Yarrowia lipolytica: one gene and its partners. The protein of the gene in region 1 binds, or shares a complex with, the protein of each later gene. Links are inferred from orthologs where the notes say so. Each region holds a gene or a part of one and is shown in the gene's direction. Other genes may lie near its edges. The genes, in order: YALI1_A17515g, YALI1_F28112g and YALI1_F05624g.

The links.
Region 2: YALI1_A17515g (region 1) and YALI1_F28112g share a complex: the UniProt entries of both Saccharomyces cerevisiae proteins name them as parts of the cleavage and polyadenylation factor (CPF) complex. The link is inferred for Yarrowia lipolytica from reciprocal best matches to the Saccharomyces cerevisiae genes PFS2 and SWD2.
Region 3: YALI1_A17515g (region 1) and YALI1_F05624g share a complex: the UniProt entries of both Saccharomyces cerevisiae proteins name them as parts of the cleavage and polyadenylation factor (CPF) complex. The link is inferred for Yarrowia lipolytica from reciprocal best matches to the Saccharomyces cerevisiae genes PFS2 and YSH1.

What each region holds. Positions count from the first base shown.
Region 1 is NC_090770.1:1,748,200-1,754,964, forward strand, and holds YALI1_A17515g (uncharacterized protein), read left to right. Parts: upstream 1-3,371; coding exon 3,372-4,994; downstream 4,995-6,765. Other genes in the region: YALI1_A17486g (uncharacterized protein), read left to right, coding at 413-1,912; YALI1_A17511g (uncharacterized protein), read right to left, coding at 2,116-2,907; YALI1_A17546g (uncharacterized protein), read right to left, coding at 5,736-6,440; YALI1_A17551g (uncharacterized protein), read right to left, coding at 6,576-6,765. UniProt on the Saccharomyces cerevisiae protein: Integral and essential component of the cleavage and polyadenylation factor (CPF) complex, which plays a key role in polyadenylation-dependent pre-mRNA 3'-end formation and cooperates with cleavage factors including the CFIA complex and NAB4/CFIB.
Region 2 is NC_090775.1:2,807,516-2,813,600, forward strand, and holds YALI1_F28112g (uncharacterized protein), read left to right. Parts: upstream 1-3,712; coding exon 3,713-4,735; downstream 4,736-6,085. Other genes in the region: YALI1_F28092g (uncharacterized protein), read left to right, coding at 1,717-2,172; YALI1_F28107g (uncharacterized protein), read right to left, coding at 2,939-3,262; YALI1_F28123g (uncharacterized protein), read left to right, coding at 4,789-4,935, 5,015-5,110; YALI1_F28132g (uncharacterized protein), read left to right, coding at 5,734-6,060. UniProt on the Saccharomyces cerevisiae protein: The COMPASS (Set1C) complex specifically mono-, di- and trimethylates histone H3 to form H3K4me1/2/3, which subsequently plays a role in telomere length maintenance and transcription elongation regulation. Involved in mediating RNA polymerase II termination.
Region 3 is NC_090775.1:557,701-565,880, reverse strand, and holds YALI1_F05624g (uncharacterized protein), read left to right. Parts: upstream 1-2,731; coding exon 2,732-2,821; intron 2,822-3,419; coding exon 3,420-5,813; downstream 5,814-8,180. Other genes in the region: YALI1_F05661g (uncharacterized protein), read left to right, coding at 1-1,420; YALI1_F05575g (uncharacterized protein), read right to left, coding at 7,908-8,051, 8,098-8,180. UniProt on the Saccharomyces cerevisiae protein: Component of the cleavage and polyadenylation factor (CPF) complex, which plays a key role in polyadenylation-dependent pre-mRNA 3'-end formation and cooperates with cleavage factors including the CFIA complex and NAB4/CFIB. Has endonuclease activity.

The sequences.
Region 1 (6,765 bases):
GCTACGAATAAATCGAATTTGCTACGAATAAATCACACAATATACCGTGTCTACGGGTACTTGTCTCGTAGAGAAAGCTGAGAAAATCCTGAAAATCGGGACACAACATTTCCTGTACTTATTTTGAGACGTTTTTTTTATATTTAATTTTTCAAAGTATTGATAGACTCACCTCAAGTATCGTACTTGAATCTTCAAGTATCAGTGGGCTGATAATTGAGCCCAGTATGGGAAGCCAGAATGTCAAAAAATGGCATTGTACTTCTCAAAAAAAAACACAAAAACTAATAATCAGATCACGACTTCTCAATTTGCTGGGGAAAATCCAAGTACTTGTCACAGTTACAGTACCACCATAGCCTTGTCTCGATATCCATCTCTAACACCCCACAAAACTTAACCCCAGACATACATGAGAAACACCAACATGCTCAACCAACGGCTGTCGATAGATGGAAACAATTGCACAGTACGGTACGTGGGAACCGACGTGCCCGTGTGGCCCGACGAAGAAGCGATCGGCGTGGAGTGGGACGATCCAGCTCGCGGCAAAAACAACGGATCAGTCAAGGGTACACAACTGTTCGAATGCACCCAACTGGGAGCCGGATCGTTCCTGAAAAGTGCGTCGTTGGCCAAAAAGCAGGTCCGCTATGGCACATCGTTTGTGGAGGCTGTGGTTGAGCGATACGCGTCGGAATCACGAGTGGACGAGATCAAGATTGGTACGAAAATGAGCCAGGTGTTGGGGTTCGATAACAAGGGTCTGGAGAATCTGACGAGCATAAATCTGGCCAACAAGGGCGTTTCAGAGGCCCATGAAACTGATAGTCTGCCTCTGGCTCGCGTGGTGCATCTTGATCTGTCCTTCAATCTCTTTACATCGTTCGAAACGGTGCTCCAATGTCTCCAGACAACACCCCATGTCGAGTGGATGTCTTTGAACGGAAACAGATTCAGAGTGGATGCTGAAGGTACTCCGAACTCATTGTTTCCCTCTCTTACCTCTTTGTCATTGACCAACACCTTGCTGTCTGAGAAGGAAGTACTGCTAATCATCAAACACTTCCCTAACCTCACTCATCTGGTTTTGGCCCATAACAAGACCATCAAGTCGATCGATTTGCGGGATACCCGTCTGCAGTTTCTCGATCTGTCTTACAACAATCTGCATGACCTCTCACACTTCCACTTCCCCCCTTCTTTGACGTCCTTGAACCTGTCTCAGAACAGGTTGGAGAACGTGACTGCGGAGACTCTACCCCGTTCAGACTCCCTCACAGAGCTCGATGTGTCCTACAACACCCTTCAGTGGTCCGATTTCGATCAGCTATGCATTATTTATCCGTCCTTGACATCCCTACGGATCAACGACAACCCGTTCACCAAAGAAGACTTTTCCACAAACAATCTTTCTGTGTCGCCTATCGACTCGCAGATCATTGCGCGATGGCACAAGAAGCTGAGTACGCTCAATGGCCGGTTTGTGGCCGACCAGGAACGCTCGGACAGTCTCATCTACTTTGTCAACTCGGTCATACAAGGCAAGATTGACTACCCACGAGACAAGGGGGCTAACAAGACCCATTTCGACGCTCTGGTAGCGTCGCTGGGCATTTCACAGGCCCACGCAACTCCCAGGGTGACTGAAAACTTTCCTACTGCCCGTCAGGCGTTTGTGAAGGTCACGTATACCACTCGTGTCGACCGTGGAACGAGTACGACGACCCAGAGACTCAACAAACACAGCTCTGTGCAAAAGATGAAGTTTGGCGTGCTAAGAAACAAGGGTTTTTCGCCTCTGCATTCCTGCACCATTGTCATTGACGATATTGAGGTGTATGACGAGCTCAAGACGTTGGATTTCTACGGAGTCACGGATTCTACAAAGGTTGACGTTTTAATTCAGTGATTAGTATGCGACGTCGCCCTATAACTAACACATACTGTACAGCGTCCAAATATATCGGTATACGTCTCGAATGGTTAACAGTGCGAATAAATGTAATAAGTATTTTGTTGCTGGTGCCCGTACAGTACCAACGAGTTTTGCTGCGGTGTCCACACCAACAAGTTTTGTCACTCGATATCAACCTCGTCCCCTAAGTTCCCAATCTACTCATGGTAAGACCACAGACCGTCGCCCAGATAATGCAAAAGTTCCACTCCAATGCCGTTGTTGACCTCCTCAATCTCCTTGGTGGACATGGTCAGCTTGCCCACCGCCAGCGCGTGCTCCTTGCCCTCGGCGTTGACAATCACAATTTGGTCCTTCTCCATGGGCTCGTCGGGCAGCTCTGCGCCCTTGGATGTGAGGCCTCGGCACATGATGTTTGCGCCAGAGAGCACAAACTTGATGGCGCCTCGATCTGTCTTTATCGAGGGGAAGTACTGGGGGAACTGGTGGACCAGGTGTAGCGAGGGGACCAGCTCGTCGTCAAAGTGCTGGAAAAACATGACTTTACCGTCGATGGTGTACAGAGAAATCCGGTCCTGGCACTTGACGTGGACCAGCTGGGCCTTTTTGGGGATAATCTGGTCGACAACAGGCTCCATATCGGGGAATTGCGCCACGAGCTTGGCCTTGAGAGCCCGCTGCGACGACGACTTGACGTTGGCCTTGGAGTTGATGTTTTCGTGAGAGAATTTCTTGAACATGGCGTGTGTTTGAAGATCCAGACAACCGATGATGGATGTTGGCACCAGATGATGGAACATGCAGATTTGGTGCACAAGGTTTTGCCGCGCTGAGTCAGCGGACGTCTGAGCCCCTCTCTCAGAATCTGGAAAATCGCATGTAAGGACCAAGTCGCTTACTAAGGGCTTGGGACGGTGCCGGTCACGTGCAAGGGTGACTGTTGTTCCCACCTGGGACGCACCCGGAGGATGGGAGTATAAGAAGGACATTTATGTATGATTAAGAAGACAAGTTATCACCAGCCTGTGAACGTATTACAGACAGCGAGCAACGGTTAGATTAGACAGCGACAATCTACCGACTGAGAACTATTCCGCAGATAAGAGACGATCGGATCTTACATCGCATAAATCCGATATAGTGTAGGGGTTATCACTTCCGCCTTTCACGCGGAGAACCCGGGTTCGATTCCCGGTATCGGAGGTTCTTTTTTGGTCTCGAAAGGGACCGTGGCCGATTTTTTGGAATAATGAGGATACTGGAGTGGATATTTTGTGGTCGGGATTTTTACGAGTAAAAATACGGGAAATTTGGAGCGATTCCAGGCGGTTCGTTTGCTTTGTCGAGATATCTGCCATATGTCGAGTCTATAAGTATGCAGATTAAGAGGTGCAAGAGGTGAATGATTGAGTATTTAAACGGAATTAGTAAGCCCGAAAAGTTGACATGACATATGCCGAAAAGACACACGAGACACATGTCATCCGATTCTGGGCCTCTCCATCGCCGTACCATTCCAATATCTGTTCACATTTTCTCAGGATTTTTTTATGCACCGTTTTATGCACCACAACTTACTCAGTTCATTGTCACGATCACCATGTACAGCACCTATCAGCGACCAGCAGGGTACCAGCCGCGCCAGCAGCCGCAGGGCGAGGAAGATCGACGACCTGCGCACAGACGGACCGTTGACCATGGCTCGGCGTTCGGCAAGTGGCATTTGGACCGGCTGAGTGGGCGCACGATCCAACCGGCCAACATGCGATCGGAACAGTCGTATATCGTCGATCTGCTGCCTCCGTCGGCCTACACCAACATCAACGGGTCGCTGCGGTCGACCAACCCGCACATTACGTCCGTGGCGGCCACTCCGGCCAAGTTCATCCAGGTGGCTCTCAACAAAGTGCGGCACCCGGTGTACTCAGCCACCTGGACGCCTGATGGACGACGACTCCTCACAGGCTCCATGTCCGGCGAGTTCACGCTGTGGAACGGTATGACGTTCAATTTCGAGTCAATCATGCAGGCGCACGAGAGCGGAGTTCGATCGCTCAAGTACTCGCACTCTGGAGAATGGCTCTTGTCTGGAGACCATGAAGGCAACGTCAAGTTCTGGCAGCCATCGCTCAACTGTGTTAACGTGATCGACAAGGCCCACCGTGAGTCGATCAGAGAGCTGGCGTTTGCGCCCAGTGACCACAAGTTTGTCACCGGATCGGACGACGGTCTGCTCAAGATCTGGGACTTCCACGAGAGCAGTAACGCCGAGTCGGTGCTCAAGGGCCACGGCTGGGACGTCAAGTCGGTCGATTGGCACTCGGAGCTGGGCCTCATTGTGTCTGGATCGAAAGACAACCTCATCAAGCTGTGGGACCCTCGATCCGCCAAAAACGTCAACACTTTCCACGGCTTCAAAAACACCGTCATGAAAACCACCTTCCAGCCCACTGGTACCAAACGGCTTCTGGCTGCAGGATGCCGGGACCGAACATGCCGAATTCTCGATCTGAGAATGCTCAACTCGGGCTCGTCGGAAGCAGGACCAACAGCAGGAACAGACATGCCCACCAGAGGAGATCGGTCCATGGCCGTGCTTCGAGGGCACGATTCGGACGTGTTTTCGCTCACATGGCACCCCACACACGCCAACGTGGTCACCTCGGGCACCAAAACAGGCTCCATCTACACCTTCAACGTCGACACAACTCCCGCCGGAGGAGCGTATGGACCGGACTCGGGAATTCTGCCTGTTAACACCATCCCCTCGGCCCACGACTACTGCGTTTCTACTTTGGACTACCACCCCGAAGGCCACGTGCTTTGTTCGGGAGGTCTCGACCGAATGACTCGTTTCTGGGCACGACCTCGGCCCGGAGACCCCACCTCCTTCAGAGACAAGTACTACGAACCCAAGGAGGAAGGCGTCTCAGTCAAGACGCTGCCCGGAGTCAACAATGCCACCAGCCGGGCCGGCATGGCTCGTGTCGAGCACGTGTCTACTCAGCATTTCAACACTGCCCAGCCCGAGGTGACCGATGACGAGCCGGTCTCCATTCCGGGTTTTGCTAGATAGTCGGAAAGAGGGACGTGATAAGAAGCATACGACACCATAACACGTGACACAATGGACAGGCGATACAACAGCACCGAGCATCTGATATGATGGGATATGATGGGGGCACTAAACACAGTGGGACGTGACTCAATTGCCCACGCGCAATCACTCAAGTGAAAGTCCTCTGTCTGGCATGGTCACAATTAGCATAAGGCAAGAAAGACCGTCCATGCAAAGTCATCTCTTGTCTAGTACTGTCTACCAATGGTATGATAAGACTTGTTTTTCATTTAATTAATGAATTGTATGTTACTCTACACTCTTGTATATACTACATGCTATGTAGAAGGCCACACCATCGCCGATTCAGAGAAGGATAATATAATGACTATTAGTCGTACAAACAATGCCAATCGAATAAGAAAGCCTCTATAGAACCGACTGGTGGCTCTTTTCTATCAATTGCTATATCAATATTGGAGACAGGTAGATGCGACTATAGTGGAAATCGTAGTTGGTATTAACAGAACCCAAGTACATACGGTACTGTAGTTGAAAGCTATCAATTGGAAGATATGGACGGGTTTCTAGAGCTCATGAAATTGAGAAAACGGCCTCTCATTTCTATATTTCTATACTTGTTCACTATTCCTTTGACCAGGTAGATGACAACAGTCTAAACTGGACTATATCGTGAAAAAAACCAAAAGACTACATCACAATACTTTTATTACAACTAATATACACATCCCCCTTCTCTCAGAATCCGTCCTTCTCGAATTGGTCGCCTTTCATCAACTCCTTGATGCGTGCAACATATGCGTCGAACAAAGGATTTTGGACCACATCCACAATGTGGTTCTCCATAGCTTGCGTGTCAGTCAGCCATTCGGGGTCCTCGGTCTGTGTTCCTCTGCTGACCATCCCATTCCCGCTCCGAACGTCTGTATCTGCAGGGGTAAAGTGCTTCTTCCACGACTTGGCTCTTTTCGGAGAGTTGGGGGGCGAGCTGACAGGAGAAGCCCCCAAAGAAGGCATATCGTCAACGGTGCGTTTCCACGTAGAAGTCTCAGAGAATCTCCTTGGCTGCGACAATGGGGTTGGCTTCACCGGCAGATAGGACTGCGACGACGATGGTGCTAGCCTCGCAGACCGAGAGTGCTTGAATTGGTATGGGGGAGATGCTTGCGACGAACTGGGGGGATCAACAAAAGTCTGGCTCATAACTGGAGGCTCAGTAGCTGGACCAGGAGGTTGGGTGGGAGAGAGGGTTTGAGACTGGAGAAAGGGATCAATCTGGGTGAGGTCGCCATCATCATCTTCTCCGTTCCACTGAGACTCTGGGTTGAAGTTTTTGAAGGAGGTCAGGGTGGCACCTTCAGTCCTGGTAGACTTGGGAGGGCTACCCTTGATACACACTCCCGCCTTTGATAGCATTTCCACTGCCCGGTCGTATTCGTCCATGTACGCGAATTTGATTTGAAAGCGATAAGTCTTGGTTAGCTGGAAAAGGATATCTCAGGGTATCATGTTAGGGTATTGCTGCGTTGGCGTTGAAGGTATCAATAATATTGTAATGTGGACAACCACTTGCGTCGCTCATTCGTAACCGACTCGTGGAACACTCACCATGGTATGGAATCTCCTCACCAAGTACTTGAAACCAATCCCTGGCGGTCTACAAATGGCCACAAACGGCGGGTTGTTCTTTCCGTAGGTGGATCCGAACCGCTCCTCAATCTCGTCTGTGTCAACATGCTCCAAAGAGGTGTTTTTGTATTTGAGGGAA
Region 2 (6,085 bases), on another chromosome or scaffold:
GCATGCCACATCCGGTATTGCGGACCCCATGCAGGTGGCAGCGAAAAAGAAAAACAAGCACGCGTACTCGTAGCTAGGAGAAGAAAGGCAGATACGAGCAAGAGAATGAGTAAACAAGACGTCATACCGTTTGTTCGAGCTTGCTTGTTCCATGTCTATACTGTCTGTAGCCTGCCAATTTGTCTCTGCATGCCACATTCTATGCCGGATGTACTGATGATTTCTTCCGTCACTAGAGATTGTTCACTTGTAATTACCCATCCGCGGGCCAACTGCTAAATTACTGTATACCAGCTCAAAGCTTCACTAGTTGACCGTGTCTAAGGACTAATACCATACATACTGGCGACACCGGGCGCCTAATATTACCTATTTGACTTGCGCGCCAGTCCGATTCGGTCGAGATATGCCGCCTTCTCGCCCCATTCTCTGCCGCCTCATTATCTTTTTTCTCGTCGCCTAGATTGGCTACACCCGTTCTCTGCAGCGTCGGCAAACTTTACCCCGGAAAGCCGGCTTCCTACGATAAGACAGGTTATGCAGTAGACCCACTACAGTACAGCGATATCGGAGCTCGGCTTTTGCTCCGATACAAGTAATTGAAATGCATTCGGATGGTTGAGATTAAGAGCTTGCCTTTCCACTACTATTGAAGACAGTTGTGCTGAGTCTCATAATGTAAAGTGTAGATGCTAAATTGCGGTACCTCTACTGTAGCTATATTTCTCTGAGCTCAGTCTAGACCTCCATCATCTTTTCCTCGGACACAAGGACTGCCCCACCATTCCTTTCAGATGAAATTGTGGCGTTTTCAGATGCCGGACATACTTCCGTGAGTGGTTGAAATTGATTACAAGTGATTACAAGTGGATTCGAACGACACTCACCCCAGTATCGTACATTCACTCTATCAACCATACTCATCCGCCTCATCCACGGCTGAACTCAGATAGTAAACTCACCTTGGACCGACGGAGACTGGGATATAAATATAAAACATGCTGTAGCTTCCTCGCTGCTACGGGAATCGGAAGCTCGGAGGACCCGGCGCGCAATCAACGCATCCGAAATTCTTTTTATAAATTCCGGTACGACTATAGTGATTGGAGCAGCTTTTGGATATACACAAGGTAGGAGGTTTGGATCCACCCCTTTGATTAAACTACTTTTGAAAGACACACATGACTCCACTCATTTTTAGATCCACCCATAGCATGAGATGTTCTACAGGTGATCAGGATCCGAACATGGCCCCTGGCTGTGTACTGTAGTCAGTTATACGAGTAATCACCAAACAGATACTTGTGCTCGTACACCTCATTACCCCTTAGCTACTCGTAGTCTTCCATACTCTACTCTCCTCCGTAGGCCCAGCAGGTCACGTGCCTTGGTATGGCAAATGGCAAATAGGTAAATTCACGCTGTTTTAATTGCGACGTCGCAAATGAAGGGAATATATTTCCAAGTACTCCCTACAAGTAGTTGATAATGAACCATTGTCTCAATAAATAGTAACCCCTTTCTATTACTAATCACAGCTAGACCAATAGAACTCCGTACAATTGCAGAGTTTGGGATAACCCAGATACCGCATCGACGCACCTCAGGCCGGGTAAGCTCCGCATCTTCATTCTCCAGTGCAACTATCTAAAGCAAATCAAGACCAGATTATTGGAACATCTTAACCACTCACACAACACACACACACAATATACAATGGCCTTTATGCAGCGATCCATCTTTGCTCTCCGAGCCGCTACCCCCGCTATGCGGGCCCCCGCTTTCCGAATCGCCCCCTCCATGCGACGATTTATCTCCACCGAGACCAAGGATGCCATTGAGACCGCCATTGGCACTGCTCCCGTGGTTCTCTTCATGAAGGGCACACCCGAGTTCCCCCAATGCGGTTTCTCTCGAGCCACCATCCAGGTGCTTGGCCACCAGGGCGTCGACCCCCAGAAGTTTGCTGCCTTCAACGTTCTTGAGGACGAGGAGCTGCGTGAGGGCATCAAGGAGTTCTCCCAGTGGCCCACTATCCCCCAGCTGTACATCAACAAGGAGTTTATTGGCGGCTGTGACATTGTCATGTCTATGAGCCAGAGCGGCGAGCTCGCCGAGATGCTGCAGCAGCAGGATCTGCTTGCACCCGAGGAAGAGGAGCACATGGAGTAAGCGTGCGACTACTCTGACGTGGACGGTGACGACTGATTACAAGTCAGGAGGATATATATTTGCAATGTACATATTATAGAGTGTTGTTGTTGGTGATTGGATCGTAGTTTGTGCGTTAGTAAGAGTATGTATGTACACACATTCAAGGACAACATGTATCAGCCTCGAACATCTCAGGGCCGTGATTAGGATATGTATGTCGCTTCCGCCCGAGATAATGTGCATACTTACGGAATCAATTGCTCCACCTTGTAAAACGATCACTACATTTGGTCTCAGTAGAGCAATGAAAGCTTGTACATCACCCATTTGTTCGAGTACAATCCCAGTAACCGAACTACAGTATAGTTCACATATAGCTTTTACGTACTGCTGACCATTTGCCACTTTCAATGTTCATGTATTACCCTGCTTTTTTTGTTCATTCCCTTATCCCTAGATTAGTAAAGCCTTGGTGTCGCCTTCAACTCATAAGACCGCTCAGAAACCCTGCCCTCATCAGCTTGACACAGATAGTGAGAAGGGATGTCCACTCGTGCCTTTCAGCTGGACCCGATGGACCTTTGAGAACAGCTCCATTGAGAGTGGGAGCTTACGCTCTTGATTTGCTGTGTTGCAAGGGCACTAGTAGGGGTACAGATGTCATTTCAGTTCAAAGACCTACTCTTGTGCCATCTGCACGCCCTTGCAGCCTCGGACCTTTTACCAGATAGAAAACATCATAGAAACCACACCACACAAGTTACTCACCTGGCATGTAAAATGCTTAGAATCGCGGGGGTCGTCGTTCAAAGTAGCTGGAGGTGGACATGAAGGCCACGGAGGTGTCAAAAACCCACTCGCCGACATCGAGGTATCGCTCGATGTACGAACGAGTATCCTTGTTCTCAAAGTCGTTGGTCTTGATGGTGAGACCAGTAGATCGCTTGACACCGGCCAGAATGGTGGAGACCAGAACAAGGTCAAAGGAGAAGTGGAAGAGTCTACCGAGCTGAGTTAGCATGAGGAGGCGGGTGGTCGCACGTGCTGATAGAGGCACCAGCAGACATCCTAGAGAAGTATGAATTGCAGGAGGAAAGCGTGGTAGCATTTCAATCTCCCTAATCAGTTTTCGAGTTACTCACAGTGCCCATTATGCCTGGAAATAGTAGTAGGAAGAGAATTTTTGAAGTGGCGTAGAGTACGTGAAGTAAACATTTGGAACAATGGGGCAAATAAAGTTTATGACAATCAGTCAGAGCTGGCTATTTGGCCTGTCTGACCGTTTGACATGTTTCGCCACATGTTTGCTGTTATGCGTAATTAAAACATCCGTATGGTGACCGTGTGTGAATTATATACACTCTCTTCTCTAACCTCGCTACTGTACACTCTACTTGAGGCATCACAGACACCCCTTGAGGTGGGACAACCTAATTTTCTACTCACGTGACCTAATACATCGTCAACCTAAAAAATACACCAAACGAAACGCATAATAGATCGTCACATTACAAACTACGCATCTTACGGCAGAAGAGAAGCCAAGGAACGGGAAAAAATGGAATCGGTTCCGGCAAGTATCGAGACATACAAGACGCTTAAGCCGTCCAAAACGCTCCGGTACCACCATAACGACCCCATCACATCGCTCGATTTCGATGACACTGGAGCCTACGCCGTCACAGCTGGAACAGATGAATCCATTCAGCTGTATTCGGCTCACAAGGGCACTCACCAGCGATCCAGCTACTCGAAGAAGTATGGCGCGCATTTGGCCCGGTTCACACACAACAGCATGAGCATCGTCTACGCTTCCACCAAGGAAGATGACACAATTCGATATCTGTCGTTGCACGACAATTCGTACATCCGGTACTTTAGAGGCCACAAGGACAAGGTGCACGCGCTCAACGTGTCTCCTATCAGTGATGTGTTGCTTTCGGCATCAATGGATCACACTGTGCGGCTATGGGATCTCCGGTCGCCCCACTGTCAGGGAGTTTTGAACCTGGTGAGCCCGAATCTGATTGCATTTGATCCCCGAGGTCTGTGTTTTGGCGTGGCCAACACATCGGCCCAGGACCTGTCTTTGTACTCTGTTTCTGCATGGGGATCCGACCCCTTCGCCACGTTTGCTCTTCCTGCTCCCCCTGGAGACGGATGGGCCTCTGTAGAGTTCTCCAACGACGGAAAGTATATTCTCTTGGCGACTTACGGAGAGCAGCACCACGTCATTGATGCTTTCACGGGTAATCTTACGCACAAGCTCGTTGGCCACCACCCCTTAAGACGCGATCAGGACAACATGCGGGGCGGCTCCACTCACACTGCATTCTCTGTGGACGGCCGCACAGTGTTTGGCTGCTCGCGAGACGGCAAGATTATTGTCTGGGACTTGCAGGACCGAGTCGACGAGCGAGGACGACTGTACCCTTCCAAGGCTCTCAACTGCGCACCCAACGCAGCCTCCCCTCAGATTCTTGGTGTCAATCCAGCCTCCATGCAACTGGCCACAGCAGATAAAGAGCTTACTTTCTGGCTGCCGGAAAAAGACGTGGCCGAGCCTCCAAAGGAGGCATAGATGTGGTAAAACCTCCAGTCTGCCACAGCTGTGCACCTCGGTTATTATGAAACATGACTCTAGTGTGCTTGCGTACATATTTTCACGGGGGTGGACCGAAAAGGTTCTCACACGACAGTATGATTAGTGGTCTCGACGCACGCACCATGGGGGTATCCCAGGTTCCATGCACGTGGGGAAAGCCTGCGTCAGAGTATCCTGTGCTCTCACTGAACCAGTACCAGTATTGTACAATGACTTGACTTTACAACGCACGTTGTTGTGTTGCTGTTGCTCGAGTGTTCCTGGCAGCTTGAGCTTGCGGACCTGCAAATGATCAAATTATCGGACCATGATGAGATCCAACTTCCTGGCGCTTTCCCACATAATATCTAACTGAATAATATATAATGAAACACACAACTGTGGCTAATTTTTATCTCTGGCTGTGGTGGCGAACGAGTGGTACGAAAAGCACACCAGCATCGAAAAACGGCCCGCGTAAAACGTCCTATTTTGTACAGTGCAAGCTCCTTGTGTGGACGCCATACGGGAGGATAGAGTATCGTGTATACAGAACACGTCTCCTTCCACAGAATGTTTTGAATTGAAACCGGTCAGGGATTCCAGCAGTAGCTCGAGCCGGCTACGACGTCTTGGGGGGATTGTCGCCATACTCCCGTTTCCCGTGGTTTCAACTACGTACTCCACCGTTCACATTCGATAAATCAGAACCGTCTGATATCGAAGGTGCCAAATGCCGAACCGGATTTCTACTGCATTCTGGACTATGCCGACATGCATCCTCGGCCCCGACCACCACAGGTGAAGTCTAAGAAATTCGAAGTAAATAATATAAGTATCGCTATAAGTGCAAAAGAAAAAACGAAAAAGGGGACAACCAAACAGGTGCAGATTTCTATGTGTAGGAAAATACTATAGCATGTGCGATGCCAGATGCCGTATATAATCCAACCATGCCCTCGAGTCAGAGAACCAACAACACATAATTTCGAAACATGCCCAAGATTAAGAACGTGTCCAAGCTCAGCCCATACACTGTGATCCAGTGCGACGCATGCTTCACAAACATGTACTACAGAGACGTTTTGGAGCACTGTGTCGACGAGCATCAGGATTGGCTTCATCTCATGAAAATGGAAGACATTGTTAGCCGGTTCTTCTACCTGGTTCCTCTCAACCAGACTCTGGACCTGGACAACAACCCAGACTACGAACTTGGATCTGCGTATAGAGCAGCTACCACACAGAGATCTGCCCTTCCCCAAACGTCTTCTCGCGAGGATCTTCACAACTGGCCTCTAGAGAAGCCCCTGCTGTATTGACTTGACCAACCACTCACACACTTAA
Region 3 (8,180 bases), on another chromosome or scaffold:
CGGTGCCTCCAAGAAGAAGGTGATCCAAAAGGCGTTGTTTGACGAGCTGGTCAATCTGGTTGGGGTGGACGAGAGCGCTGCTTCTGCCGCCAAGTTCAAGCCGCAGAAGGGCAAGTCCAATGTGGTCATGTTTGTGGGTCTGCAGGGATCCGGAAAGACCACGTCATGTACCAAGCTGGCTGTCTACTACCAGCGGCGAGGCTTCAAGGTGGGATTGGTGTGTGCCGATACCTTCCGAGCTGGAGCGTTTGACCAGCTCAAACAGAACGCCACCAAGGCCAAGATCCCCTTCTTTGGCTCGTACACAGAAACAGACCCCGTGGCGGTGGCAGCCGAGGGAGTAGCCAAGTTCAAGAAGGAGAAGTTTGAAATCATCATCGTCGACACCTCCGGACGACATCGACAGGAAAGCGAACTGTTTACGGAAATGGTGGATATTGGCGCTGCTGTGAAACCGGACTCGACAATCATGGTGCTCGACGCCTCCATTGGCCAGGCCGCCGAGCCCCAGTCACGTGCCTTCAAGGACGCCTCCGACTTTGGTTCCATCATCCTCACCAAGATGGACGGACACGCCAAGGGTGGAGGAGCTATTTCTGCGGTGGCAGCCACAAACACCCCCATCATTTTCATTGGTACCGGAGAGCACATTCACGATCTCGAGGCGTTTTCGCCCAAGCAGTTCATTTCCAAGCTGCTCGGTATCGGCGACCTCCAAGGTCTCATGGAGACGATGCAGAGTCTGAATCTCGACCAGAAGAAAACCATGGAGCACATTCAGGAGGGTATTTTCACACTGGCGGATCTCAGAGACCAGATGGGCAACATGCTCAAGATGGGATCGTTGTCCTCCATTGCTGGCATGATTCCGGGACTCTCGGGCATGGCGTCTTCCATTTCCGACGAAGAGGGTACCCGTCGAATCAAGCGAATGATCTACATTCTCGACTCTATGAACCAGAAGGAGCTGGATTCGGATGGATCCATTTTCAAGGAGGTGCCTTCTCGTATCACACGAGTTGCCCGGGGCTCGGGAACCTCCATCCGGGAAGTCGAGGAGGTGCTTCAGCAGCAGAAGATGATGGCCTCCATGGCGTCGCGAATGGGCGGCAAGAACGGCATGATGTCACGAATGCAGAACGCCCAGAACAACCCTGCCCAGATGGCTGCAGCTCAAAGACGGGCCCAGCAGATGATGGGCGGAGGAGCCGGAGGAATGCCCGGCATGGGAGGAATGCCTGGAATGGGCGGTATGCCCGGAATGGGTGGAATGCCCGGTATGGGAGGTGGTATGCCTGACATGAGTGCTCTGCAGGGCATGTTCCCTGGAGGAATGCCTGACATGGGCCAGATGATGAACATGGTACAGAACAATCCTCAGATGAAGGCCATGGCGAGAAGTATGGGTCTCGGCATCTAAGCAAAGAGCCTAGACGGCCAAGACGAGTAACGAGTCTTGGTGAGCTAGCACGAGGAGCGCAGCGCTGTCTTTGGGCAATGTGCCCCACTGTGTGAGACAGTCTTTTGTTTCCTCCCTGCTAGAGAAATCTGTGAAGAGGAACTCACAGAGCATTAATATTGTGTATAGTTGAATTATTTGGATTGGATGGGTACTGTAGAGTGTTGTGGAGCGAGCCATCAATGTGATAAATCACGTATATCATCTTATAACGGCGAATGTCCTCCGTCAAACATGTTGGGGTGTCCAGAAATGGAGAATTTATTATCACAACAGGTGGGTTTTTTGGACTGAAAAGATTCAGCGGCCCTGGAGTACACGCTGATTCTAAAGTCGTTCATATTGGTCCTTTTTTCAGCGAGTTCGAAACACCACCCCTAGCCGTGCGGCTCGGAAATTACCTTGCCCAAGTTTTTAATTATGGTGATGTTGCGTTGCGTCGGGTCGATCTATTTCGTGCTGAGTTCAGATGAATGAGGGATCTAAATGTTGGTGATTGAAATTCTTCATAAACAATTTTGGTATCAAATTACTCCTGGGAATCTCAAGAAGACAATGGTGCAATTAGGGGACTATTATGTTTATTATTGGCAGAGATATAGCTATAAAACATTAACTGTTGGAAGTTGACCAAATAAGAAACCGAAAAACATAAAACAGATCAAAACAGGGCTATAATAAACCCACAGACAATTCCCCATCTCTGAAAAATCTCTATAATCCCTTTTGGGCCCCCATCTGTCCTGTCTCCTCCAGCCAAATAAAGTTCATCTGCGAGACTACATTAAGTTGTGAACATTTCGAAAACAGTGTGTAACCACCAAACAGAACAACCAGTTGAAACTCGGATCATGGCTGAAAAACGCGAATCGCAGGTGAGTATTTGAAGTCACGTGATGGTTGGACGGTTGGAGCCAACCACGTGGAGCCCAGCGCGACGAAATGCGACAATTCGCAGAGAGATATGACCACGGACGGAGGAAATGGCGGTACAGGCCGCCGCCGTAGACTTGAGTGGATGACTAGCGATGAATGGATGGATGGACTGGCAGAGAGAGAGAGAGAGAGAGAGAGAGAGAGAGAAGGAGAGAGAGGAGAGAGAGAGAGAGAGAGAGAGAGAGAGAGAGAGAGAGAGAGAGCGGCAGGGGACCAGGTCACGTGACCAATCATGTGATCTGCAGTCTGACACTGACTACAGCCTGTCTCATGGGGACGGAGGTATGGTGACTTAACGTGCAGTACCGTCCAGGTGTAGACGATAGCAGGTGGAGGATGGCGCGGTGGAGTGGGCAGATCATGTGCTTCAGAGTGGGTCACTTTCTACTCGTGGGTCACTTTCTACTCGTGGGCAACTTTCTACTTGTGAGTCACTTGCTACTCGCGGGCCACTTTCTACTCGTGGGCAGACCTCGTGCTCAGAAAGGTCAGCTCATGTACTGAGACGCCGAGGCTGTTTGTGTGGCGATTTTATGGTTCTTGGTTGTTTGTACCATTCAGTCTGTGTCACTTGAATAGCCACGATCCCCCCTACACTCGTGAAAAGCAGTTCCGTGCTCTCTGTTCACAATACTGCGGCGTTTTCTTCTCTGTTAGACTGACCCATCTCCCAGCGGTTGCTCCCCCGTATGAGGGTGTGTCTAGTACTCTTCCATGCTGACCGCCCAATTCACCACTTCTGCGTTATTGTCATTGTCAAGTCGCCTAAAAATCCCCTACATCTTGTCGATAATTGTCAGCATGTCAGACTAGACGTTCTGCCTACAGCAATCCACAGGCGACCACCAAATCTGCAGTAGCCACTGTCAAGTTATTGATCGCTCAAGATTTCTTCTGTTGGTACTGACTGAATTGCCAGTGCTGAATCCGACTACGGCTCTTTGGGATCTCATTTGTCTACGATATATCAAATATTTGTCAGGGCCAGACTCACGGCTCCTCTTTTCAGTTCCCGCTAACCCAGACCGACGACTCCGACACATTTTCATTCGTGGCGCTCGGAGGTGGCCGAGAAGTTGGCCGATCATGTCACGTCATCTCGTTCAAAGGCAAGACTATCATGCTCGATGCCGGCGTGCATCCTGCCCATTCCGGCCTCGCCTCCCTGCCTTTCTACGACGAGTTCGATCTCTCAACCATTGACATTCTTCTCATTTCACATTTCCACCTGGACCACGCTGCTTCTCTCCCTTATGTGATGCAGAAGACCAACTTCAAGGGCCGGGTATTCATGACCCATCCCACCAAGGGTATTTACAGATGGCTCTTGTCCGATTTTGTGCGAGTCACCTCTGGAGCCGAATCGGACCCAGATCTCTACTCGGAGGCCGACCTCACCGCCTCGTTCAACAAAATTGAAACCATCGACTACCACTCCACCATGGAGGTTAACGGAGTCAAGTTCACAGCGTACCATGCCGGTCACGTGCTCGGAGCAGCCATGTACACGATAGAAGTCGGTGGCGTCAAGGTGCTGTTCACCGGCGATTACTCTCGAGAAGAGGACCGTCACTTGAACCAGGCCGAGGTGCCGCCCATGAAACCAGACATTCTCATTTGTGAAAGCACATACGGCACCGGAACTCACTTGCCGCGTCTAGAACGTGAGCAGAGACTGACGGGACTGATTCACAGCACACTAGACAAGGGCGGAAAGTGTTTGTTACCAGTATTTGCTCTTGGACGAGCCCAGGAGATTCTTCTCATTCTCGATGAGTACTGGGAAGCCCACCCTGACCTCCAGGAGTTCTCCATCTACTACGCCTCTGCTCTGGCCAAAAAGTGTATCGCTGTTTACCAGACTTACATCAACATGATGAACGACAACATCAGAAGACGTTTCCGAGACCAGAAAACAAACCCGTTCCGGTTCAAGTATATCAAAAACATAAAGAATTTGGACCGTTTCGACGACATGGGTCCCTGTGTGATGGTGGCGTCTCCTGGAATGTTGCAGAGCGGTGTTTCGAGGTCTCTGTTGGAGAGATGGGCACCTGACCCGAAAAACACGCTCATTTTGACGGGTTACTCGGTTGAAGGAACTATGGCGAAACAGATTATCAACGAGCCTAATGAGATCCCCTCAGCTCAGAATCCGGACCTGAAGGTTCCGCGACGTTTGGCGGTGGAGGAGCTCTCGTTTGCTGCCCACGTGGATTTCCAGCAAAACTCTGAGTTCATCGATCTCGTGGATTCCAAAAACATCATTCTGGTCCACGGTGAGCTCAACAACATGCAGCGTCTCAAGGCTGCTCTTTTGGCCAAGTATCGAGGCCTGAAGAACAGTCCTAGAGAGAAGACCATTTACAATCCTCGAAATTGCGAAGAAGTCGAGCTCGCGTTCAAGGGCGTGAAGGTGGCCAAGACGGTTGGCAAAATGGCCGAGGAAAAGCCGCATGTTGGTCAAATAATTTCTGGAGTGGTTGTGCAGAAAGACTTCAATTACGGACTCATGGGCGTTGCTGACCTGAGAGAACACGTTGGACTGTCAACCTCTTCCGTTCTGGAGCGACAGACTGTGACGGTCAACGCAGGAGTGGATCTGGTCAAGTACCATCTCGAACAGATGTTTGGATACGTGGAAATGAGAGAGACGGAGAACGTTAAGATTGAGGAGATGGAGGACGACGTGGCTGAGGAGGAGGAGGACAAGGAGGTGAAACAGGAGGTAGAAGATGTGACCATGGAGGGTGAAGTCAAGGATGAGACCGCGGAGGAGGTCAAGAAGGAGGAGGAGGTTGCGGAGGAGTTCAAACAAGAGGTTGAGGGTGATTCCGACACTTCTGCGGGAACCACATTCGTCGTGATGAACTCGGTCACAGTGAAACACACTCCCACAAGTTGCACCATTGAATGGGTGGGTTCCTGTCTCAACGACTCCATTGCCGACGCTGTTCTGGCCATTTTGCTGACAGTGGACAACTCCAGAGCGTCGGTGAAGATGTCTTCCAAGCAATGTGCCCATTCTCATGGCCATGAAGACGGCCACTCAAACTCCTCTCTCGACGAACGAGTTCTGCAGCTGTCTTCGATTCTGAAAGCTCAGTTTGGAGACTCGTACATTGTTTCTGAGGATGGCAAGTCGGCCAACATCAAGATCGACGCCATGGAAGCCACGATTTCCTTCTCTGATTTGTCTGTGACCGGCTCACCTCCTCCTCTTGTTCAGAGAGTCCAGGTGGCTGTCGATCGGGCCATTTCGCTCGTCGCTCCTCTGGCTCAGAAGCTGTCGGCCGTGGACCTGGTTGAAGGTTTCAAGGCCATTGAGAATGTCAAGGATAGGGAAGAGAATGGGGAGGTGAAGGCAGAAGATGAAGAGAAAGTCAAGGCGGAGGAGAAAGTCAAGGAGGAGGAGTAAATAGTATCGAGTTTGATGTACCCAATATACAGACTGTAATATGAAGCGTTCGTAGATGATGCAAAGAAACAGGACTGCCACCAGTCTCTGCAAAACCCCTCGGACCAATCTCCTCAGTCCCACCTCTCAGACTAACCGGCCAGTCCAGTTTAACCCTTCCCCACATCACCGGACCAGCCAAGGGATGGATCTAAATCTCTTTTAGTGAGTTCTTTCACGACAAGACCTTTCTTTGGAACAAAAATCTCGAGAAGAAAATGGACGAAAATGGTACCAAAATTGTTCCCCTGACTCTTTGAATCTTTTCAGACCTTCTTGGTTTTCGCTGGTTCTGATATTGAGCGAGTTATGAGTGCATTAGAGAACGGACATCCATAACTAGTGGGTTAGACAAACTTAAGTATAAGTTCAACTGGATTTACTTGAGAAGCAACCAAAGAATGAATATATCACACCAGAAGAGCAGTAAGTATTTCTGTAACTGGGTTTTTAATAGGTAAAGTACTTCTTTCAAATCAACTGATGTAGTCTGTTTTGTATTTGCTTGTCTGGTTCGACTGATAAGGACCCCCAGCACACTTTTTTACTCAACTATTACCAAGTAATTCTCCCAACTAGAGTTTTCCACTTCTACTGACGCCTCATAACAAGTCTCACAGCCTCTGCAGAGATTATAAGTGCACTCAGTGGGTATTGACAGCAGATAGTAGGTATTGAGACCATATTTGCCTCTTGCAATCTTCTCAATGATGGAAATCCAACTTGTGAGACAGTAATCAAAAGTGTGTCCTCTGACTGTCTTCTATGAGACATTGCTCATAACAGTAGAGCTAGAGTGGAGGGTAGATCTACAAGTAGGGGTATTAGGACGGCGTGTACAAGATTGTATAAAGATAGCTCCGACTATCGACACTGCGGACTTGACGGTTCCAGTTCGACATCCAGAGTACGTCATGCGGGACTACTGGCTAACGCCGCCAGACTAGAACAAATGGGCTACAGACGAGTGCTGTATGTCCAGCAATTATAGCACTGTTCTGTACCTACTTGTACACGTCCAACCCACACACCAGCCTCTACTCCAACATGTACTCACTTCTTCACCCCGCATTCCATCACGTCTGTTTCAGTCCTGCATTCCTTTGATTCAAGAACCGTACCGTTTTTCCTTTTCTTTCACGTTACTTTTTGGCCGGCTTGGCAGCAAACGCCGGGTCAAAAGCCGACACATGTACCGCCAAAGAAGCGATACGAGCTGGAGACGTCAATGGCCCCAAAGTGCAATCCAGTGCGATGCTCGTAGATGCTCGTAGATGCTCGCACATTCTTGTATTAGCATTTGGATTCCGTGACATTGTTTAGACCGTTGCGGGGAACCCTTGTGCGTACGGGTGACGTCATGATGATAACAAGGCGTGGTGGGGGTGGGAGGGGTGACAAGAGTCAATCATAGGCGGTCAGAACGCGAGATATCGGGGAAATAATGGCGCCAAAATACTCTCGGGATTAAGATGTTTCTAGAAAGACTTTGAAAATCAAAATCGACGACCCACTTCAGCTCAAACTGGACCCCTATTCAGACTGACGTCATCACCACCAACCATGTAGAGAGAGATTCAGCGTATACCCACCGAATCACGTGACCAACAATCAATACCTCCGCTTACAATACTGTCCGAAATACGTCATACCACGTGTTTGGTTCATGTGGTCTCCCCCCTTGATAATTTATCCCCCCTGGACTTGGTTGTTGTTCTTGGCTGTTTCCGCATGTGTGTACATACTATAGCAATTAGCTCTATTTTTGGATACAAGTGGGGGGGGGCGAATGGAGGAGACCAGAAAAGGAAGTTCTAGTAGACGGATTGCGATTCCAAGAACATTATTGGACTCAGGGAGGATTGGTTTGTCACGTGACCACCTTTCCCCGGCTACTTTCCGCCCGTTTTTGGTCGATTTTCGGTCGACTTTTATGTGTTTTCGCTCAGCCGTTCTGATCTAGGTTTTTCTCCTAAAGTTATCGCTCAAAAATCTCTAAATAACATTGCAGATGACCTTATCCCTGAGTGTGCATACAGCAGGAGGAGTGCAATATTAATACTGTGCGAGTACCATACTTCTTCGGTACCAGTACCAGTATCTCCACGTCGACAGCATCTCCACAAACGGATCTGTGGAACATTTTTTGCCCCGACTTTTAGACCTTCGACATTCTCCTTTTGCCCGCGAGTCGACACTCTCCGCCTCAGCCTCAGTTGATCATTCATTCACCACGTCACTCCACTCCACTCCTCCACTGCATATCGCATAGACTGATAGAGCCAAGACCGAGGGCTAATTTTGACGTGTCCTCTACATCAGTCCGTC